4 linked regions of the Arabidopsis thaliana genome follow. The protein of the gene in region 1 purifies or fractionates together with the protein of each later gene. This does not show direct contact. Each region holds a gene or a part of one and is shown in the gene's direction. Other genes may lie near its edges.

Region 1 (4,643 bases):
CAGATTGCTTGTGGGTTACGCGTACCCTGCATATGGATGCTACAAAAGCGTGGAAAAGAAAAAGCTTGAGATTCACGAACTTAGATACTGGTGCCAATATTGGTAAAGCTTACTAATTGTTAATAAAGAAGATTCCTTTTTTGGATAAGGGTATCTTATTCTCATAACCATCTTATCAAAAATCCGAATTTGATTTGTAGGATCTTGGTGGCTCTTCTTACTGTTTTCGAAAGGATAGGAGACATCATTGTATCATGGTTAGTACTTATATGTCAAACTTCAAATCTCCATCATATGCTTCTTTATTGTATGAAACCTTCTGATTCATCTCATCTATCCGCAGGTTACCACTCTACGGAGAGATCAAAATCGCTCTTCTCATCTACTTATGTTACCCGAAATCACAGGTACTAACTACAGTACAATGCAATAAAAATCTAATGAGAATTCATTCTCATTCTTAGATTCACAAAACGACCAATCTTCTTCTCTTGGTTTCTAACAGGGACTTAGCTATGTCTACGAGAAGCTACTATGTCCATACATGTCAAAACATGAATCTGACATCGATCAAGGAATCTCTGTCTTAAAGATAAGAGGACATTTAGTAATTGCTCAACTACTGCAATGTATCTTCCACTGGAGCCTCCAAATCTTCAAGCAATTGCAACAACAATTCACCATCTATAAGGTATTCAAAACAAACATATACATCCTCAAGCTTTACTGCATCAGAGCACTCTCACCAAATCCATCACTTCCTTTGTCTACAGAATAAAAACCAATCAAAGTCAAAAGATCAACAACAAACAAGAACTTCTTTAATGTTTCTCCGTTAGAAGGTGCCTGCTATACTACTCTAAGCCACAATCTCAATAACCGGGTTTTTAAACCGCCGGTTAACCGGAGTTTCACATGACTTCAAATTGACCACAGACGAACAAAAAAAAAAAGATTTTTCCTTTGATATGTTTTGAATATTGTAACACTTTATTGTATACAATTCAATTCATGAAAAATCCAATTTTCTCACCAAATCAAAGTTTATTTGACAATCAAAGGAACACGAAACGATTGAAAAATCCAATCAAACACACGTCGCAAGAACTGAAACCCGGCGGATAAGTGAAGCCAAACGCGGCGGAAGAATTGAGAACCAGCAGAATCATCTGACGAAGTAAGCACCGTTGGTTGAAGATAAGACAAAGCAGCTTGCTTAACGAGACGGTTACGAATCGAGATATCTCCGGCGGCGGTGGATATAACAGGAGAGCAGCTACCGTTGATCGACGGTAAATTGAGTGAAGAGTTAATCGGAGAAGAGATGATATCTCTGAGAGAAGTGTAAGCTACGAAAGAGGATGGTTTTACGGAGATGAGCTCGTAATCGAACGAAGACGGCGGCGTTGAAGCTATGTCGAAAGGAACTTCTGGAGGAGTTAGAGTCGTCATGTTGGATATGGATTTTGTACGGCGGAGTTGAGTCGCCGGAGATTGTGACGGCGGAATCTCCATAGTCTTTCTTCTTCTTTTTTTTTGTTTGGTTTGTTTGTGAGTTTGTGGCTGATTGGGTTTTGCGAGTGTTTAAAGTAAGGAAGGAGGTCCAATTATTGATCTCTATGATATGTACATTTGTCACTATCTTGTGTTGTATTAATTAGTAAAGAGATACGTTTACTTTATTTGTATTTTCTTAATTATTATGATTGGAATGGAAGATAGTAGGCAAATTACAAAATTTAAGGATTGATTACTATTTTTGATGTGAAGATTAGATGGAAATATATTCGGAAATCCAACCAGCCTAAAAATAGATTTTGATTTAATTATCAAAGTATGATCATCAACACGGTGTCGTTCCGGTTCATCGAACATTCCACTTCTTTCTTCTTGTCTGAAAAATCTAGAAGAGCAGCTATTTGGTTTCTCTATCCGATTCGTCTCTCTCACGCCCTCACGTTTATCCACCTCATCCTCAAACCAAACCACAAGACCTCTTTTTTAAGTAACCAATCACAGAGAGATAGAGAGAGAGAACAGAGTCAATGTCAATGGCGTCTATAGCTTCTTCTTCTTCCACCACCCTACTCTCTTCCTCTAGGGTTCTTCTTCCCTCCAAGTCTTCTCTTTTATCTCCTACCGTCTCTTTCCCCAGAATCATACCCTCTTCCTCGGCATCATCCTCTTCTCTCTGTTCCGGGTTCTCCAGTCTCGGTTCCCTCACCACCAACCGCTCCGCCTCACGCCGGAACTTCGCCGTCAAGGCTCAGGCTGTAAGTTGACTCGCAATGCCATAAATTTCTTGTATTTGCTCCATCTTCTCATTCACTATGATTGTTGTATGAATTCGTTAGCTTGTTATAATGGGATCCGTACTATTTTCCTGCTTCTTATCTCTTAAGGGTTTTGAGATCATTGGATAAAAGACTAAACTTTAAACTTTTTAGAGTTCTGCGATTTGAATTGAGCGACATTTTTGTTACCCTTCTTTCGGGTTTAATTAGGGATGGGAGGAAATGATCTGAAATTAATTAATATGATTCACATTTGGCTCATACACAGAAATCTTTTGAGCCCTGCATAGATAGTGAACACCAGTTAAAGAACATTTTGTGTGGTTAAACAATTCGATGATCGATGACTGACTAGTGTTTATATGTTTTATGAATGCAGGATGATTTACCACTGGTCGGTAATAAGGCGCCTGATTTTGAAGCTGAGGCAGTTTTTGATCAAGAGTTCATAAAGGTACTTTCATTCCATTCAAACCTTATTTAACATGTTAGTTAGTTAAGTGTCATAAGCTAAGGTCAATGCAGTAGAGCAATGTTCTGATAGTAATCGACCTATGAATCATGGTTTCAGGTGAAGCTCTCTGAGTACATTGGCAAAAAGTATGTTATTCTATTCTTCTACCCTTTGGACTTCACTTTTGTCTGCCCCACTGGTTAGTATTCTGCTAAGGAAATAGCTTCAAAACTGAAACTCTCGCCCTCATAGTCACTGAAATTTCCAATTTTTCTTTGCTTATTCTAGAGATTACTGCCTTCAGTGACCGTTATGAAGAATTTGAGAAGCTAAACACCGAAGTATTAGGGGTCTCTGTCGACAGTGTGGTAAGTCAAATTTTTATTTCTCCACCTGAACCAAGAAAGAACATTCTGGTCTCAGCATTTTGAAAAATGGTTTCAAGTATTTGATGTACTCAGAACCTTGGCAAGTGGCAGTCTGATAATCGAATGGAACGTTTTCTTTTGGATAATGGAACGTTTGATTCCATGTTCATGTAGTTCTCGCATCTTGCGTGGGTCCAAACAGACAGAAAGTCGGGAGGGCTCGGTGATCTGAATTATCCTCTTGTTTCGGATATCACTAAATCCATTTCAAAATCGTTTGGAGTGCTCATCCCTGATCAGGTAAACGATTTCTTCTGACATAGTTGCATCATACTTGCATTGAGTCCAATCCACTTGTGTTCTTTCAAGTAACGTATAGCCACTTTGAATCAAAGCATTTTGCTAATATATAAGTACAGGGCATTGCACTGAGAGGGCTTTTCATCATAGACAAGGAAGGAGTCATTCAGCATTCCACCATCAACAACCTCGGTATTGGCCGAAGTGTTGATGAGACAATGAGAACCCTCCAGGTAATAAAGAGAAAAATCACATCATTGAGATAGATAGATAAAGAGAGATTTGTTTTTGAGGTTTAGGGTTTAGATGCGTTATTTGTTGCTTCTTGTGATGTTGTCTTGCAGGCATTACAGTATGTTCAAGAAAACCCGGATGAAGTGTGCCCTGCGGGATGGAAGCCAGGGGAGAAATCAATGAAACCTGACCCCAAGCTCAGCAAAGAATACTTTTCAGCTATCTAGAGGCTAAGATTGAACACATGTTTGGTGAAAATTAGCAATCAGAGTTGTTTTATTCGTCTTTTCAAAGTTGGAGCAGAGTTGTTATTTTTAGCCAAAGAACCTTTGTATCTATCTCATCTTTCTCCTGTTTCTGCTATGTGATTCTCCTTAAATTGAATCAAAAATAAAGAAATCCTTCTTTTCTTTTGCCAATATTTATGTCTTTCACTTGTGTAAATAGTTTATAATAATGCAAAGAGGCAGAGTATTTTGACCATTGCAAAAAATAAATTAGAAAAATATCATGTGAGGTCACAGCTCCCTGGAATTAGATAACTATCTGATTGATTTGTTTAATAAACTTGAGTGCTCATTAAGCTAATCTCCATCTGTAGCCGACAACAAAATTATGTTGTGGTATTACTCGGAATATTCTCCACTCGGATTAATTAAAAAATATCGTACATGATAATTTTCTGGTTAAATAAAAATCTGATACCTTTGACACGAGAAAAAAGTTAAAAACTAGAAGTTATGGATAAAATCAGAAAATAACCAAAAGAAAAGGATCGTTTTGTCATTTCTTGAAAATAGCCCTATCCTTTTTTTCCATTAAACCAAAATGTACAAAGACAAGTGGGGAGTGATAGGGTTTGGTATATACGCGGTTAGCAGTTACCCACATGGTTTATCCACTTCACACATTTAAACCACCCCTACAAAATAATGTTTATCAAAACGACCCCAATACTTTCTTTTGTCTTCTTTCCGCCCTTACCTTCTGATG
Region 2 (4,830 bases), 3.9 Mb from region 1:
AGAGAATTACGGGACGATAAAAAGAAGGAAACTAAATGATTAGAGACTTTATTTTTATTTTTCTCAATCGACGTGATGACCAATTTGATACAGACTCATAATCTATATGATATACCCAGGTGGAAGACCCATGCGTTGCATGCGTTAGAATTAATATAATAAAATACAACCTGTTGTTTAGCTGTTTCTAATTAATATTGAAATATGTTTAGCTGTTGAAAACATATAGAGGTTACCTTTTATTTTTCTCTAACTTATTCATCTCATCTAGTTTATCCAACTCTTTTTTATTATTCAGCTTATCTTTATTCAACTTATCAGTACTCATTTTATTCAGCTAGTTCAATTTGTTAATCACCATTGGAAACTTTTTAGGTGTTTATTTTTAGAAAATACTCTTCATTAAATCTCAAAAGTTCATAAAGTTTTTGGTGTAAACTACTAATTGGAGATTCGATCTAATGTTTTATAAAGTATTTTATATGGTTTAATAAGATTTTAGAAGGTATTTAAAAATGTTTTACAAGGTATTGTTTTACAAGGTATTTATAAGTTATTTTTATACTGTATTTATAAAATATTTATAAGTTTTTACACACATATAAAAGTAGTTTGTATACTTTAATAAAGTTACACACATATTTGAATAAACCTCATATTCTTAGGAGTACTTTTAATAAACAATTAGAAATATAATATTTTTGAAAAGTGGTATTCGAAAAGATGCTTTTGAAATTCTTCCTTTATTTAGCTTCCAATTCTAAACATTTGAACTAAACTATTTGATATTCAATTTTAAAAGCTTATATGGATTGTCACCTCCAAACATATGCTAGATATTTACTTGAGAATTTTTGATAAACATCTACTTACAAAATTTTAACTAAAATAATATATTGAGAAATTGGAAAATGAAAAAGTAAAATGGTCGAAGAAGAATATCTTTTATGATATGTTAGCCTCAACAACGGGTGATATTTAATAATTAGTTTAAAACTTTAGTCACTTTGTAGTTAATACTTCTGATTTAGGATTAAGGTCCGTTGCACCCACTACTTCTGACAAAACTAAGTGTGCGGACTTAGAAAATAGATTAAACATGGATGGTCTCCTATCTCTTTGTTGTCAACCCAAACCGGCAAACCCTGATATTCTCTTATTACTTTTCATCTATAACATATTGAGTACTAGTACTTGACCAAAACAAACATTTAACTATATAGTACATCTCTTTGGGCTTAAGGAAACCCTTTTGTAAATAAAGCCTAAGCCCAAATTGTAGAACTAGTTATAGTCAATAACACAAAATTGCTTCTAAAAATTTCCCAAATCTCAAGTCTTATTATGTTATTTTCAACAACGATATGCATGAGATCATGATACAATTTGAATCTGCAATAACAAAACTGATACAAATTGGTAAAAACATATTTTATTGTCGAAAATGTTTGAAACATTCAGATCCAAAAGAAAGGCAAGGCGAAATTGATACAACTACAAATCATTCAAATATTCTTATGTCAGAACAACAGTTCCTGGATAAATTTGCTCCCACTTGAAGAAAAGTGTAGTCATCGCTAGAGAAGATGAAGAGATTCGTGATGAAGTGGACTTGGAAAAAGAGTTGAACCATAAGAGTGGAAGACAACTTACAAAGAGTTTGGAGACATCATACCAGGAATCAGTTAGATCATTGGCATAGAACATCGAACAGCCTTCTCGAGTATTAATTTACAGAGATTTTATTGTATTATATAAAATATTCACAAAACTGTAGAAGTTTCAAGAAAATCTAAATCCGACGGTTGAAAAACTCCCTACGTAATCTCTGTTGAACAACAACGGTCCGATCAACATAGTAAAAACGAAAAGTAAATCCAACGGTTAAAAAAACGAAACAAAACAAAAGATCCGACGAGGAAGAGTAGAACCGTTTGCCCTCTCTCTCTCTATCTTCCTTATCTCTCTCCGCCACTCTCCTTCTCTTTCTCCGAACTCTTCGATGGCCGGTCTACTCAAAACGCCGTCTTTACATCTCACACCAACTCTTCTTCATGCTCCTTCTGTACCCTTTAAGCCCTTTTGCGTATCTTTCGCCGGAGGAAGAAACGTTAGCGTCTCACTCTCTCGCCGAGCTTCTCTCCGGTCTGTCTCTAGCGGCTATCCTCTCCGCTTACTAAACCTCGTACCCTTTGCTTCGGGAGAAGCTGAGACGACGGAGACGGAGGTGGAATCGAACGAACCCGAAGTTCAGGTTTTTCGATTTCGGCTCACTTCTGTTCAACTTTCTTGGGGGTTATTTCATTGTTAGTTCGGTGATTAGGGTTTCGAATTTGGGATATGGTAATTTAGAATTGCTTGTTGTTTGCTTAAATTTTTAAGCTTTATTGATTATATTACCCTCTGAAGGAACGTTCACATGAATTAGAGCAATGAATAGGATTGTATTCAGTCTATTCAGGAGTCAAATGGTGAATGCTAATGTTTCTTAGGATATACCAAATCCGATGAATGACAGATTTCATATTCTTGTGGTATGGTGTGTTCCCAAAATGAAGGAGTTTCACTAGTAGTTTAAGACCATGGTGTGTATGTACTATCCAAATCGAATTTTGATTTCGTGATTCTTGTATGGGGGCCACAGAATGTTCTGAAGCTTTTTTGGTGTTAATCTGATTGTTTAGGAGGTCATTAAAAAATTGTGTCGTTAGTGTGTGTTCTGTCTCAGCTTTTATCAGGAATAGATAGGAAACGTCTATGTAAACTGGATTGCTCTTTTTCTGATTTTTTGTTTCACTTCTGAAATCATGGAGCAGGAGACGGATGGTGCTGTTGATGTCGAGAATGAAAATGCCAGTGCTGAGGAGGGTGAAGCTGAGGAAGAAGAAGCAGCTGTTATCACAGCGTTGCTGAAATCCTATAAAGAAGCTTTAGCAGACAACAACGAGGGGAAGATTGCTGAGATAGAAGCATCTTTAAAGTCCATAGAAGATGAAAAATTTCTGCTTGCGGATAAAGTAGCGTCTTTATCCAATGAGTTATCGGTGGAGAGGGATCGGCTTATAAGAATCAGTGCAGATTTCGACAACTTCAGGAAGAGGACTGAGAGGGAAAGGCTAAACCTTGTTTCAAATGCTCAAGGAGAGGTTGTAGAGAATCTTTTGGCTGTTTTGGATAATTTCGAGAGAGCTAAATCCCAAATTAAGGTGGAGACTGAGGGAGAAGAGAAAGTCACTAATAGCTATCAGAGCATATACAAACAGTTTGTAGAAATTCTGGGATCACTTGGTGTTATCCATGTGGAGACAGTCGGCAAGCAGTTTGATCCAATGGTTAGTTACTATGATATCTTTTCTTCTTTCCGGAGATCGACAACTGTATTTTTGTTGCTCAGCTTGCTGGTGGTTTTAATTTTTAACTATGGACGTGATCTTTAAAATCAAAGTTGTTTTGGAAGTTAGGATAATTCGTTGCTATAGGGCTGCCGGAATAATCTTGAGCAGAACGTAGATATGGTTGTTACTTTGAAAGTTAGCTACATCAGATGGATGGAACAAATTATGCTGAATGATACTTTTGTGATGCAAATGATCAATAAATCTTTGAGGTTTAGGATCACTTATCTCAGTTAGATGCCTTTTGGTTATCGCAAAGCTTGAAATACATAACCACTTATGCGTCTAGTCCTAAGCATGAATCTGCTAAAGTTTTGGAGACTTTAGATGTAAGATGTGGTTGTTACTTTTGCAAGTTGGGTTTAAATGACAATGAGTTGGTAGATATCCTTTTGTTTGTTGGTCTTTTCAAGTCCCTAACAGCTGACATCTCTTTTTTATCCTTTTGCTTTTCTCGTTGTTGTGTGAAAAAAGCTACATGAGGCAATAATGAGAGAAGACTCTGCGGAATACGAAGAGGGTATAGTACTAGAAGAATACAGGAAAGGTTTCTTGCTAGGTGAAAGGCTTTTACGTCCTTCAATGGTGAAAGTATCAGCTGGACCTGGACCAGAAAAGCCCCTTGAAGCTGAAGGAGAAGAAGCCACAGCACAAGGAAGCGCAGAAGAAGAATCATCTTCATCTTGAAATTGAAGATGATCAAGACTCAGCAGTTTTGTGTGCGTGTGTGTGAGAGAGATACAGAGATAAAAGAGGGAGAGGTCTGTTTTACCATTATTGTTGTTATTGTTATTGATACGTTATATCATTTCTACAGAGTCTAGAAGTAATATAGATCGACATTTTTAATGAATTCTTAAGTATTCAATCCGAAAGGGAATGCCATAATTGATTTTTTTTCATCTCTCTATACACAGCTAGAAAATTCGGAAGATTCAGAGAAAATGTTGATAATTGGAAGTTTGGAACAAACAGAAAGTCAATACAGTAAATTGTATTTGAGTACTATGGCCTACGAGTCCAAATTATTGTCCAAGTTTTCTTCTTTTGGTTAGGGTTCTTTGGGTACTTAAATATCTTAAAGAGGAGTTGTCCATTTTGTGTAAAGAAATGTTAGGGCCATGTATGTTGGGTATCTTGGATTGGATTTTTTTTTCTTCTTTCTTTTGTTATTTTTTGGATATTTCTAGTAACGTTGGGATCCATGCATAATGCATTAAACCGGGTAATAGAATAAATAGTGTCATACAGTGAAAGTGTGAAACAATCAATAGTAAATTTTATCCTCAATGATGATAATATATCACATAATTTTTGGATCGGATACGAGGTGTAATCGGCCGGTCCATCTTTAGTCTCCTAGGACAATGCATGTCTTGTGTGAACGTACAAGTACAAATGTTGATTTGCGGTTCTGTTCCGGTTTTTGGTTATC
Region 3 (5,012 bases), about 19 Mb from region 1:
CTTCCATGGATGTCACTCGAGTTTCTTAAAAAAATGATGGCGGGAAACCTTAGACCTGATGATCATGTTCTTCCATCAGCTACAAAGTCGTGTGCGATTTTGAGTCGTTGTGATATTGGTAGATCAGTTCATTGTCTATCGATGAAGACTGGGTATGATGCTGATGTGTTTGTGGGGAGTTCTTTGGTTGATATGTATGCGAAATGTGGAGAAATTGTTTATGCGAGGAAGATGTTCGACGAAATGCCTCAGAGAAATGTTGTTACTTGGAGTGGGATGATGTATGGGTATGCACAAATGGGTGAAAATGAGGAAGCTTTGTGGTTGTTTAAAGAAGCTTTGTTTGAGAATCTCGCTGTTAATGATTACTCGTTTTCGAGTGTTATTAGTGTTTGTGCAAATTCGACTCTACTTGAGTTAGGTAGACAGATTCATGGATTGAGTATTAAGTCTAGCTTTGATTCTTCTAGCTTTGTGGGAAGTTCTTTAGTCTCGTTGTATTCAAAGTGTGGTGTTCCTGAAGGAGCTTATCAAGTTTTTAACGAGGTGCCTGTGAAGAATCTCGGGATTTGGAACGCTATGCTCAAGGCGTATGCGCAACATTCACATACTCAAAAGGTTATTGAATTGTTCAAAAGGATGAAGCTTTCTGGAATGAAACCAAATTTCATAACTTTTTTGAATGTGCTCAATGCTTGTAGTCACGCGGGTCTAGTTGATGAAGGGAGATACTACTTTGATCAGATGAAAGAATCGAGGATTGAGCCGACGGATAAGCATTACGCTTCCTTGGTGGATATGTTAGGACGAGCTGGTAGATTACAAGAAGCACTTGAAGTTATCACTAATATGCCGATTGATCCCACGGAATCTGTATGGGGAGCTTTATTAACGAGTTGTACAGTCCACAAGAACACAGAGCTTGCAGCATTTGCAGCAGACAAGGTCTTCGAATTAGGACCAGTGAGTTCCGGTATGCACATTTCGTTATCCAATGCTTATGCAGCCGATGGTAGATTCGAAGACGCAGCTAAAGCTAGAAAATTGCTTCGAGACCGAGGGGAAAAGAAGGAAACAGGGCTAAGTTGGGTTGAAGAAAGGAACAAGGTTCATACATTTGCAGCTGGAGAAAGACGTCATGAGAAAAGCAAGGAGATATATGAGAAGCTGGCTGAGTTAGGGGAAGAGATGGAGAAAGCGGGTTACATTGCAGACACAAGCTATGTTCTGAGAGAAGTGGATGGTGACGAGAAGAATCAAACCATAAGGTATCATAGTGAGAGATTAGCTATTGCTTTTGGACTGATCACGTTTCCAGCTGATAGACCGATCCGAGTAATGAAGAATCTGCGTGTTTGCGGTGATTGCCATAACGCGATCAAGTTCATGTCCGTATGTACGAGACGAGTGATCATTGTGAGAGATAATAATCGGTTTCATCGGTTTGAAGATGGCAAGTGTTCTTGTAATGACTATTGGTGAAGAAGACAAATGAGAGTTGGTTTATATTTAACCATAATTTCATTCAGTTCACACTGAACCGGCGAAATTTCTTTGCCAGACCTATTCGGAATTGAAACAAGTGGAGTCTCGAAACGAAAAGAACTTTCTGGAATTCGTTTGCTCACAAAGCTAAAAACGGTTGATTTCATCGAAATACGGCGTCGTTTTCAAAGAACAATCCAGAAATCACTGGTTTTCCTTTATTTCAAAAGAAGAGACTAGAACTTTATTTCTCCTCTATAAAATCACTTTGTTTTTTCCTCTCTTCTTCATAAATCAACAAAACAATCACAAATCTCTCGAAACGCTCTCGAAGTTCCAAATTTTCTCTTAGCATTCTCTTTCGTTTCTCGTTTGCGTTGAATCAAAGTTCGTTGCGATGGCGGATGTTCAGATGGCTGATGCAGAGACTTTTGCTTTCCAAGCTGAGATTAACCAGCTTCTTAGCTTGATCATCAACACGTTCTACAGCAACAAAGAAATCTTCCTCCGTGAGCTCATCAGTAACTCTTCTGATGTAAGTTTCCCTTCAAATCTCTCTCTGCTCGGTGTGACTCGTCCGCTTCCTATTTTCTTGCATGTTGTTTGTTCTTTAATTCCTGGATTCGTTGATAGCGTTGGATTCGTAGGTTTAGCGTTGTGATTGCTTATTCAAATAAATCGTGATTTGGCTTGTGCATCACGTTAAGTTTAGAATTCTTAGCTTGTGCTCGATCTTCATGTGTTGTAGTTACATATATAGAACGGTTCTTGCTTCGATGTAGTCTTTGATTTACCCTAGAGGATTGAGGAAAGCTTCTGATTATCTTTGTTTATATGAATGGTTTTGTAGGCTCTTGACAAGATCCGATTTGAGAGCTTAACGGATAAGAGCAAGCTCGATGGACAGCCTGAACTCTTCATTAGATTGGTTCCTGACAAGTCTAATAAGACGCTCTCAATTATTGACAGTGGTATTGGCATGACCAAAGCAGGTAACGAATCAATGCCTAATAATCTCTCGTTGGTGAGATGTTTTAGTGTATGTGCTGTGGTTATGACTCTCTATTATTTTTTCAGATTTGGTGAACAACTTGGGAACCATTGCGAGGTCTGGAACAAAAGAGTTTATGGAGGCGCTTCAAGCTGGAGCTGATGTAAGCATGATAGGACAATTTGGTGTTGGTTTCTACTCTGCTTATCTTGTTGCAGAGAAGGTTGTTGTCACTACAAAGCACAATGATGATGAACAATACGTTTGGGAGTCTCAAGCTGGTGGTTCCTTCACTGTCACTAGGGATGTGGATGGGGAACCACTTGGTAGAGGAACTAAGATCACCCTCTTCCTTAAGGACGATCAGGTAAGGAATCGTAGCTTTGAGTGTTTTGGGGATTGTTTCTTTTCTTTTGGTGTTTTCTGTGTTCTTACAAGTGTGTTTATTCATGCAGCTTGAATACTTGGAGGAGAGGAGACTCAAAGACTTGGTGAAGAAGCACTCTGAGTTCATCAGTTACCCTATCTACCTTTGGACCGAGAAAACCACCGAGAAGGAGATCAGTGACGATGAGGATGAAGATGAACCAAAGAAAGAAAACGAAGGTGAGGTTGAAGAAGTTGATGAGGAGAAGGAGAAAGATGGTAAAAAGAAGAAGAAAATCAAGGAAGTCTCTCACGAGTGGGAACTCATCAACAAGCAGAAACCGATCTGGTTGAGGAAGCCAGAAGAGATCACTAAGGAAGAGTATGCTGCTTTCTACAAGAGCTTGACCAATGACTGGGAAGATCACTTAGCCGTGAAACACTTCTCAGTGGAGGGTCAGCTAGAATTCAAGGCCATTCTCTTTGTACCAAAGAGAGCTCCGTTTGATCTCTTTGACACGAGGAAGAAGTTGAACAACATCAAGCTTTATGTCAGGAGGGTGTTCATTATGGACAACTGTGAAGAGCTAATCCCAGAGTACCTCAGCTTTGTGAAAGGTGTTGTTGACTCTGATGACTTGCCACTCAACATCTCTCGTGAGACGCTTCAACAGAACAAGATCCTTAAGGTGATCAGGAAGAATCTAGTGAAGAAGTGCATTGAGATGTTCAACGAGATTGCTGAGAACAAAGAGGACTACACCAAATTCTATGAGGCTTTCTCCAAGAATCTCAAATTGGGTATCCATGAAGACAGTCAGAACAGGGGAAAGATTGCTGATCTTCTACGGTACCACTCCACAAAGAGTGGTGATGAAATGACGAGCTTCAAAGATTACGTCACAAGGATGAAGGAAGGTCAAAAGGACATTTTCTACATCACTGGTGAAAGCAAAAAGGCGGTGGAGAATTCTCCCTTCTTGGAGAGGCTGAAGAAGAGAGGATACGAGGTACTTTACATGGTGGATGCGATTGACGAATACGCTGTTGGACAATTGAAGGAGTATGACGGTAAGAAACTTGTTTCTGCGACTAAAGAAGGCCTCAAACTTGAAGATGAGACCGAAGAAGAGAAGAAAAAGAGGGAAGAGAAGAAGAAGTCCTTCGAGAATCTGTGCAAGACGATTAAGGAAATTCTCGGGGACAAGGTTGAGAAGGTTGTGGTCTCAGACAGGATTGTGGACTCTCCCTGCTGTCTAGTAACTGGTGAATATGGATGGACTGCAAATATGGAGAGGATTATGAAGGCACAGGCGTTGAGAGATAGCAGCATGAGTGGTTACATGTCGAGCAAGAAAACAATGGAGATCAACCCCGACAACGGTATAATGGAGGAGCTCAGGAAGAGAGCTGAAGCAGACAAGAATGACAAGTCTGTTAAAGATCTTGTCATGTTGCTGTATGAGACAGCTTTGTTGACGTCTGGATTCAGTCTTGATGAACCGAACACTTTTGCTGCTAGGATTCACAGGATGTTGAAGTTGGGTCTGAGTATTGATGAGGATGAGAACGTTGAGGAAGATGGTGATATGCCTGAGTTGGAGGAGGACGCTGCTGAAGAGAGCAAGATGGAGGAAGTCGACTAAGAGATGAAGAAATTGCTCTTATGGTTCTGAAAACTTCTAATATGTCGAGTTGTTCTGAGTTTTAAGATTTTCCAAAATGTCTTTGTCTTTTTTTTTATATCTTTAGAGTTACTTGAACATTGTGACTACTTCTAGGGTTGGGTTTGTGTCAGGTCTGTTATATCGTGTGGTGGGTCTGTCTAATACTGATTCAAGTTTTTGTTATTCAGCTAAGGAACTTTTCTTGTTTCTGAACAAATCTTTTGGTTCCCTAGAGTAAAACTTGACTTCCAAAAGATAGACTTCCTAAGATCACTGGAATAGATAGGAGTGACAACTTGACGTGAAAGGTAGCTTGGCTATAGTAATTTTAGATCTGACAAAACGAGATCAAGAAGTTAATAATTTTCACAACACCAATTTGTTATCGCTTAAAGGTTGATTGATTTGTTCAATAGGGGGAATCATATTCTCGCATGCTCGAAAAGGGGAGAGAAGATGGAATGAACATAACTTTAAATCGGATGTTTGATTCAACAACAAAA
Region 4 (5,283 bases), about 21 Mb from region 1:
TTTGAATGAAATCAATTACGTACCAGCCTTGGTCATCCCAATACCACTATCGATAATGGTCAAGGTGTTGTTAGTCTTGTCCGGAATGATATGAATGAAAAGCTCAGGCTGACCATCGAGCTTGCTCTTATCCGTCAAGGACTCGAACCTAATCTTGTCCAAAGCCTGTTTCACCAGAATAAAAAGCTCAATCATAAGTAACAAAATACACACAACATATATACAATCAAAAACTAAGTAATCTAACAAATTTGAACATGAAAAGGTTCCATCAATTAACAAACGAAAATCTCAAATCGAAAAGAACACTAAACCCTAATAAAACCTAAATCTACACATAGATCCGTCAAATCAATCGAAGGAGATACACAAACACATTAAGCTTAAAGATAAACATAGAAAGACAGAGAGGGAGAGATCGTACATCGGAGGAGTTACTGATGAGTTCACGGAGGAAGATCTCCTTGTTGGAGTAAAAGGTATTGATGATGAGGGAAAGCAACTGGTTGATCTCAGCTTGGAAAGCAAAGGTCTCTGCGTCCGCCATTATCGTTGATCGGGAAAAAAATCTAAGAATTAGGGTTTATGTGAATCAAAAAGCAAATTCTTAAGAGAAGCAGAGAAGTATTGATGGTTTGATTAAGGGGGAAAAGTGTGTAATATATAGGGGATGTGGAAACAGACGTCATAATATAATGGAAATTGTAAAATATAAAAATTGTCATAATATTTTACTTTCCTTTTTTTTGGAACAAGTGCTACTTACTTTTTTTTTTTTTTTTTTTGTTAAATTTTTCTATTAGCTAAACTAATCAATAAAAACAATGTTTTTCTCCATATACAAAATTCGATTTTGTTATGGATTTGAATTTACAAGTTCCCATTCATTCTAGTTTATCTATGTTTAGATTTTTTTAGATCGGTCCTAGTTTTGGGTTATTTTTTGAAATCGATAAAGTTAATCCCTTAGTTTCAAGATATCTCAAAATTTTATTTCAAATTTTAGTTATGTATTTAATTTATAACAACAAGATAAATAGTTGTGTTAAAAAAAAAAAAAAAGTTTTAATCAATTCTGAAGTTAAAAAAAAAAAATCAATTTTTTCTCCCCACAAACCCCACGCTTTTTAGAGAATATGTGTTTCTTTTTGTTATTGTTTTAATTTATTTATTTTACAACTTTCAATATTATTATTTAATTATTGATTTTTTTGAAACTTTATTAAAAGATACACATACCAATCTGTAAACAGGAAAAAAAAAGTTGTAAGCAAAAAATAAAATTATTGCTTTGTTTTTAAAATAGTAAATTATCATCAATAAAATAAAATAGTAAATTACAAAATTAACAAAAAAGGAAACTAAAACCTGTTACAAAAAAGTAGTAAATTACACCTGTTCTGCAAAATAAAAAGGGAGTAGAATTAAATCTGACTGTTTTTTATAAATAGTAAATTATCATCAACCAATAAAATAAAATAGTAAATTACAAAATTTAACCAAAAAAAAAAAGAAGTAAACTAAAACCTGTTACAAAAAGTAGTAAATTACACCTGTTCTCCAAAATAAAATAAAAGGGAATAAAATTTTAAAAAATTTAATAAAGTTTTGTATTTTTCTACCAAAAAATAGTTTTGTATTTTGTAATTTCCATTTAATTATATTGCAGATTATGTGGACCTGAAAAGCAAATTAACATAAATCAAATAGGAAGGATCTAGAAACCCTTATAGGTTCCCAGTCCCCACACCACTATATATAATAACATCCTTCCCCAAAGTCTCGTATCAATCAACACTTCTCTGCTCTCTAAAGAAAATTTTGCTCTCTTTATCTCTCGATTTGATTCATAAACCCTAGCTCTTAGATTTTTTTTCCGATCAACGAGAATGGCGGACGCAGAAACCTTTGCTTTCCAAGCTGAGATCAACCAGTTGCTCTCCCTCATCATCAATACCTTTTACTCTAACAAGGAGATCTTCCTTCGTGAACTCATCAGTAACTCTTCTGATGTACGATCTCTATCTCTCTACACCTTATTTTATACTTGTCTGTCTCGTTTGATTGATCTGGCTGTTCGATCTGTAGATTTAGGATTGATTAGGGTTTAGTGTTCTAGCCGATTTTAGAATTTTGGTTGGTAATTGAAGTTGCGAAGCTGTTTGTGTTCAAATCTGTTGATTAGTTTTAGTGTTGATACCAACGATTAAGCAGACTCTTGTTAGATTTACAAAGTTTGCTTATATGTAATTTGTATATACGTTCTGTGTATTGGTTGGTTACTTACGATTGTGATTTTACTCTGGTGAAAACAGGCTTTGGACAAGATTAGGTTTGAGTCCTTGACAGACAAGAGCAAGCTCGATGGTCAGCCAGAGCTCTTCATTCACATCATTCCCGACAAGACTAACAACACCTTGACGATTATCGATAGTGGTATTGGGATGACCAAGGCTGGTACGTAATTGATTTCAGTCAAAAGCAATTTGTATTGGTTTTCGTTGATTATTTATGTGTTTGGTGTGTTGGCTAATACGTTTTTGTTTTATTTTTCAGATCTGGTGAACAACCTTGGAACAATTGCAAGATCTGGAACCAAAGAATTCATGGAGGCGTTGGCTGCTGGAGCTGATGTTAGCATGATTGGACAGTTTGGTGTTGGTTTCTACTCTGCTTACTTGGTTGCTGACAAGGTTGTTGTTACTACCAAGCACAATGACGATGAGCAGTACGTGTGGGAGTCTCAGGCCGGTGGATCTTTCACCGTCACCAGAGACACCTCTGGTGAGGCTCTTGGTAGAGGAACTAAGATGGTCCTTTACCTCAAGGAAGACCAGATGGAGTACATTGAGGAGCGAAGGCTTAAGGATTTGGTGAAGAAGCACTCTGAGTTCATCAGCTACCCAATCTCTCTCTGGATTGAGAAGACCATTGAGAAGGAGATCTCTGATGATGAAGAGGAGGAAGAGAAGAAGGATGAGGAAGGCAAGGTTGAGGAAGTTGATGAGGAGAAAGAAAAGGAGGAGAAGAAAAAGAAGAAGATTAAGGAGGTTTCTCATGAGTGGGATTTGGTGAACAAGCAGAAACCGATTTGGATGAGGAAGCCAGAGGAGATCAACAAGGAGGAGTACGCTGCTTTCTACAAGAGTTTGAGCAATGACTGGGAAGAGCATTTGGCTGTGAAGCATTTCTCAGTTGAAGGACAGCTTGAGTTCAAAGCTATCCTCTTTGTTCCCAAGAGAGCTCCTTTTGATCTCTTTGACACTAAGAAGAAGCCCAACAACATCAAGCTCTATGTCCGTCGTGTCTTCATCATGGACAACTGTGAAGACATCATTCCTGAGTACCTTGGGTTTGTCAAGGGTATTGTTGACTCTGAAGATCTTCCTCTCAACATCTCAAGAGAAACATTGCAGCAGAACAAGATCCTCAAGGTCATCCGCAAGAACCTTGTGAAGAAGTGTCTTGAGCTCTTCTTTGAGATTGCTGAGAACAAGGAGGACTACAACAAGTTCTATGAGGCTTTCTCTAAGAACCTGAAGCTCGGTATCCATGAGGACTCCCAAAACAGAACCAAGATTGCTGAGTTGCTCCGTTACCACTCAACCAAGAGCGGTGATGAATTGACCAGTCTCAAGGACTACGTGACAAGGATGAAGGAAGGTCAGAACGATATCTTCTATATCACTGGTGAGAGCAAGAAGGCTGTTGAGAACTCTCCATTCCTTGAGAAGCTCAAGAAGAAGGGTATTGAAGTTCTCTACATGGTTGACGCTATCGATGAGTATGCTATTGGTCAGCTCAAGGAATTCGAAGGAAAGAAGCTTGTCTCTGCAACCAAGGAAGGTCTGAAACTGGATGAGACTGAAGACGAGAAGAAGAAGAAAGAAGAGCTCAAGGAGAAGTTTGAGGGACTCTGCAAAGTGATCAAGGACGTTTTGGGAGACAAGGTTGAGAAGGTTATCGTCTCTGACCGTGTTGTGGACTCACCCTGCTGTCTTGTAACAGGCGAGTATGGCTGGACTGCAAACATGGAGAGGATCATGAAAGCTCAAGCCTTGAGAGACAGCAGCATGGGTGGCTACATGTCGAGCAAGAAGACAATGGAGATTAACCCAGAGAACTCCATCATGGATGAGCTGAGAAAGAGAGCTGATGCAGACAAGAACGACAAGTCTGTGAAGGACCTTGTACTTCTTCTCTTTGAGACCGCTCTTCTCACTTCTGGTTTCAGCCTCGATGAGCCCAACACTTTCGGGAGCAGGATTCACAGGATGTTGAAGCTTGGATTGAGCATTGATGACGATGATGTTGTTGAAGCCGATGCTGACATGCCTCCACTTGAAGATGATGCCGATGCTGAAGGTAGCAAGATGGAGGAAGTTGACTAAATTATCACACACAGTCGACTTAATCATTAGGGGTGTTGAGACATTGGTTATCTTTTTATCTTTTTTTTTTATGTTTTCGTTTGAACTAATATTTTGGAACTATTTTCTGGAGTTTATTTCTTCTATCGCTTGTTTTCGTGAAGATTTTTTCTCTGAATTCGGTTTGATGACAAAGGTTCTCTTATGCACAATCTTGCAAATCCAAGCTTATTTTGGTTATGTAGCCTATAACTAAGTTATTAGTATGACTAATATGGCTAATAAAATACATGAAGCAGCTCCAAATCATATTGTTAAGCATCTCAGACAACACAGCTTACATATTCTTTACAATAATAAATAATTTATTGTTCGACATAATACTGTTGTTACTGTTTGACTTAGCGTTAATTTTCTGCACAAATGTTGTTACTACTTTGATTAAAAAGGATAATTTGTGTAACAATTTTTTGGTCAGTTTTAAAGGTTATTATTATTTTTTTAAATAACTTTTACGATTAGAATATGAGTAGTGCAACGCAAAATAACACTGCCGTTTAAGACGACGGTCCCTTGACAGAATCTTCATCAACGCTCGATTTGACGTCTGCCGATTTCCTTAGCTCCGACGTAAACCACTGATCGTCGGTATTCAGCTATATTTTGATTTCTCAGCTCCAAAAATTCCCAACGAAATGGAGAAAATGGCCAAAGGATGGTTTCCGATGAGCGGCACTAGTAGCAGCGGAGATCAGCAGCAGCAACCGCTGCAAACAGGAGGAACGTCTCTGCTAGCTGATTGGAATTCTTACGCAGCATCGAGAGATTTTGAAGAAGACACCGGAACTTTAGGCTTCGATATCGAATCCGCCGTTAGATCTGCCAACGACACTGTTTCCGGCACCTTTAATGT

The links.
Region 2: the proteins of 2-Cys Prx B (region 1) and EMB1241 fractionate together in Arabidopsis thaliana (co-fractionation; one large-scale study listed by BioGRID). This does not show direct contact.
Region 3: the proteins of 2-Cys Prx B (region 1) and HSP90.1 fractionate together in Arabidopsis thaliana (co-fractionation; one large-scale study listed by BioGRID). This does not show direct contact.
Region 4: the proteins of 2-Cys Prx B (region 1) and HSP81-3 fractionate together in Arabidopsis thaliana (co-fractionation; one large-scale study listed by BioGRID). This does not show direct contact.

Annotation. Positions count from the first base shown.
Region 1 is NC_003076.8:1,917,335-1,921,977, forward strand, and holds 2-Cys Prx B (2-cysteine peroxiredoxin B), read left to right. Parts: upstream 1-1,745; 5' UTR 1,746-2,045; coding exon 2,046-2,273; intron 2,274-2,673; coding exon 2,674-2,748; intron 2,749-2,865; coding exon 2,866-2,947; intron 2,948-3,036; coding exon 3,037-3,116; intron 3,117-3,290; coding exon 3,291-3,416; intron 3,417-3,535; coding exon 3,536-3,649; coding exon of another isoform or gene 3,650-3,682; exon of another isoform or gene 3,683-3,760; coding exon 3,761-3,877; 3' UTR 3,878-4,091; downstream 4,092-4,643. Other genes in the region: AT5G06280 (uncharacterized protein), read right to left, coding at 1,045-1,515.
Region 2 is NC_003076.8:5,838,812-5,843,641, reverse strand, and holds EMB1241 (Co-chaperone GrpE family protein), read left to right. Parts: upstream 1-1,783; 5' UTR 1,784-2,002; coding exon 2,003-2,254; intron 2,255-2,816; coding exon 2,817-3,332; intron 3,333-3,869; coding exon 3,870-4,082; 3' UTR 4,083-4,303; downstream 4,304-4,830.
Region 3 is NC_003076.8:21,350,660-21,355,671, forward strand, and holds HSP90.1 (heat shock-like protein), read left to right. Parts: upstream 1-1,897; coding exon 1,898-2,020; intron 2,021-2,335; coding exon 2,336-2,477; intron 2,478-2,562; coding exon 2,563-2,843; intron 2,844-2,931; coding exon 2,932-4,488; downstream 4,489-5,012. Other genes in the region: MEF1 (mitochondrial RNAediting factor 1), read left to right, coding at 1-1,482. UniProt on the Arabidopsis thaliana protein: Functions as a holding molecular chaperone (holdase) which stabilizes unfolding protein intermediates and rapidly releases them in an active form once stress has abated.
Region 4 is NC_003076.8:22,679,521-22,684,803, forward strand, and holds HSP81-3 (heat shock protein 81-3), read left to right. Parts: upstream 1-1,717; 5' UTR 1,718-1,889; coding exon 1,890-2,012; intron 2,013-2,315; coding exon 2,316-2,457; intron 2,458-2,556; coding exon 2,557-4,391; 3' UTR 4,392-4,732; downstream 4,733-5,283. Other genes in the region: Hsp81.4 (HEAT SHOCK PROTEIN 81.4), read right to left, coding at 24-165, 425-547; AT5G56020 (Got1/Sft2-like vescicle transport protein family), read left to right, coding at 5,066-5,283. UniProt on the Arabidopsis thaliana protein: Functions as a holding molecular chaperone (holdase) which stabilizes unfolding protein intermediates and rapidly releases them in an active form once stress has abated.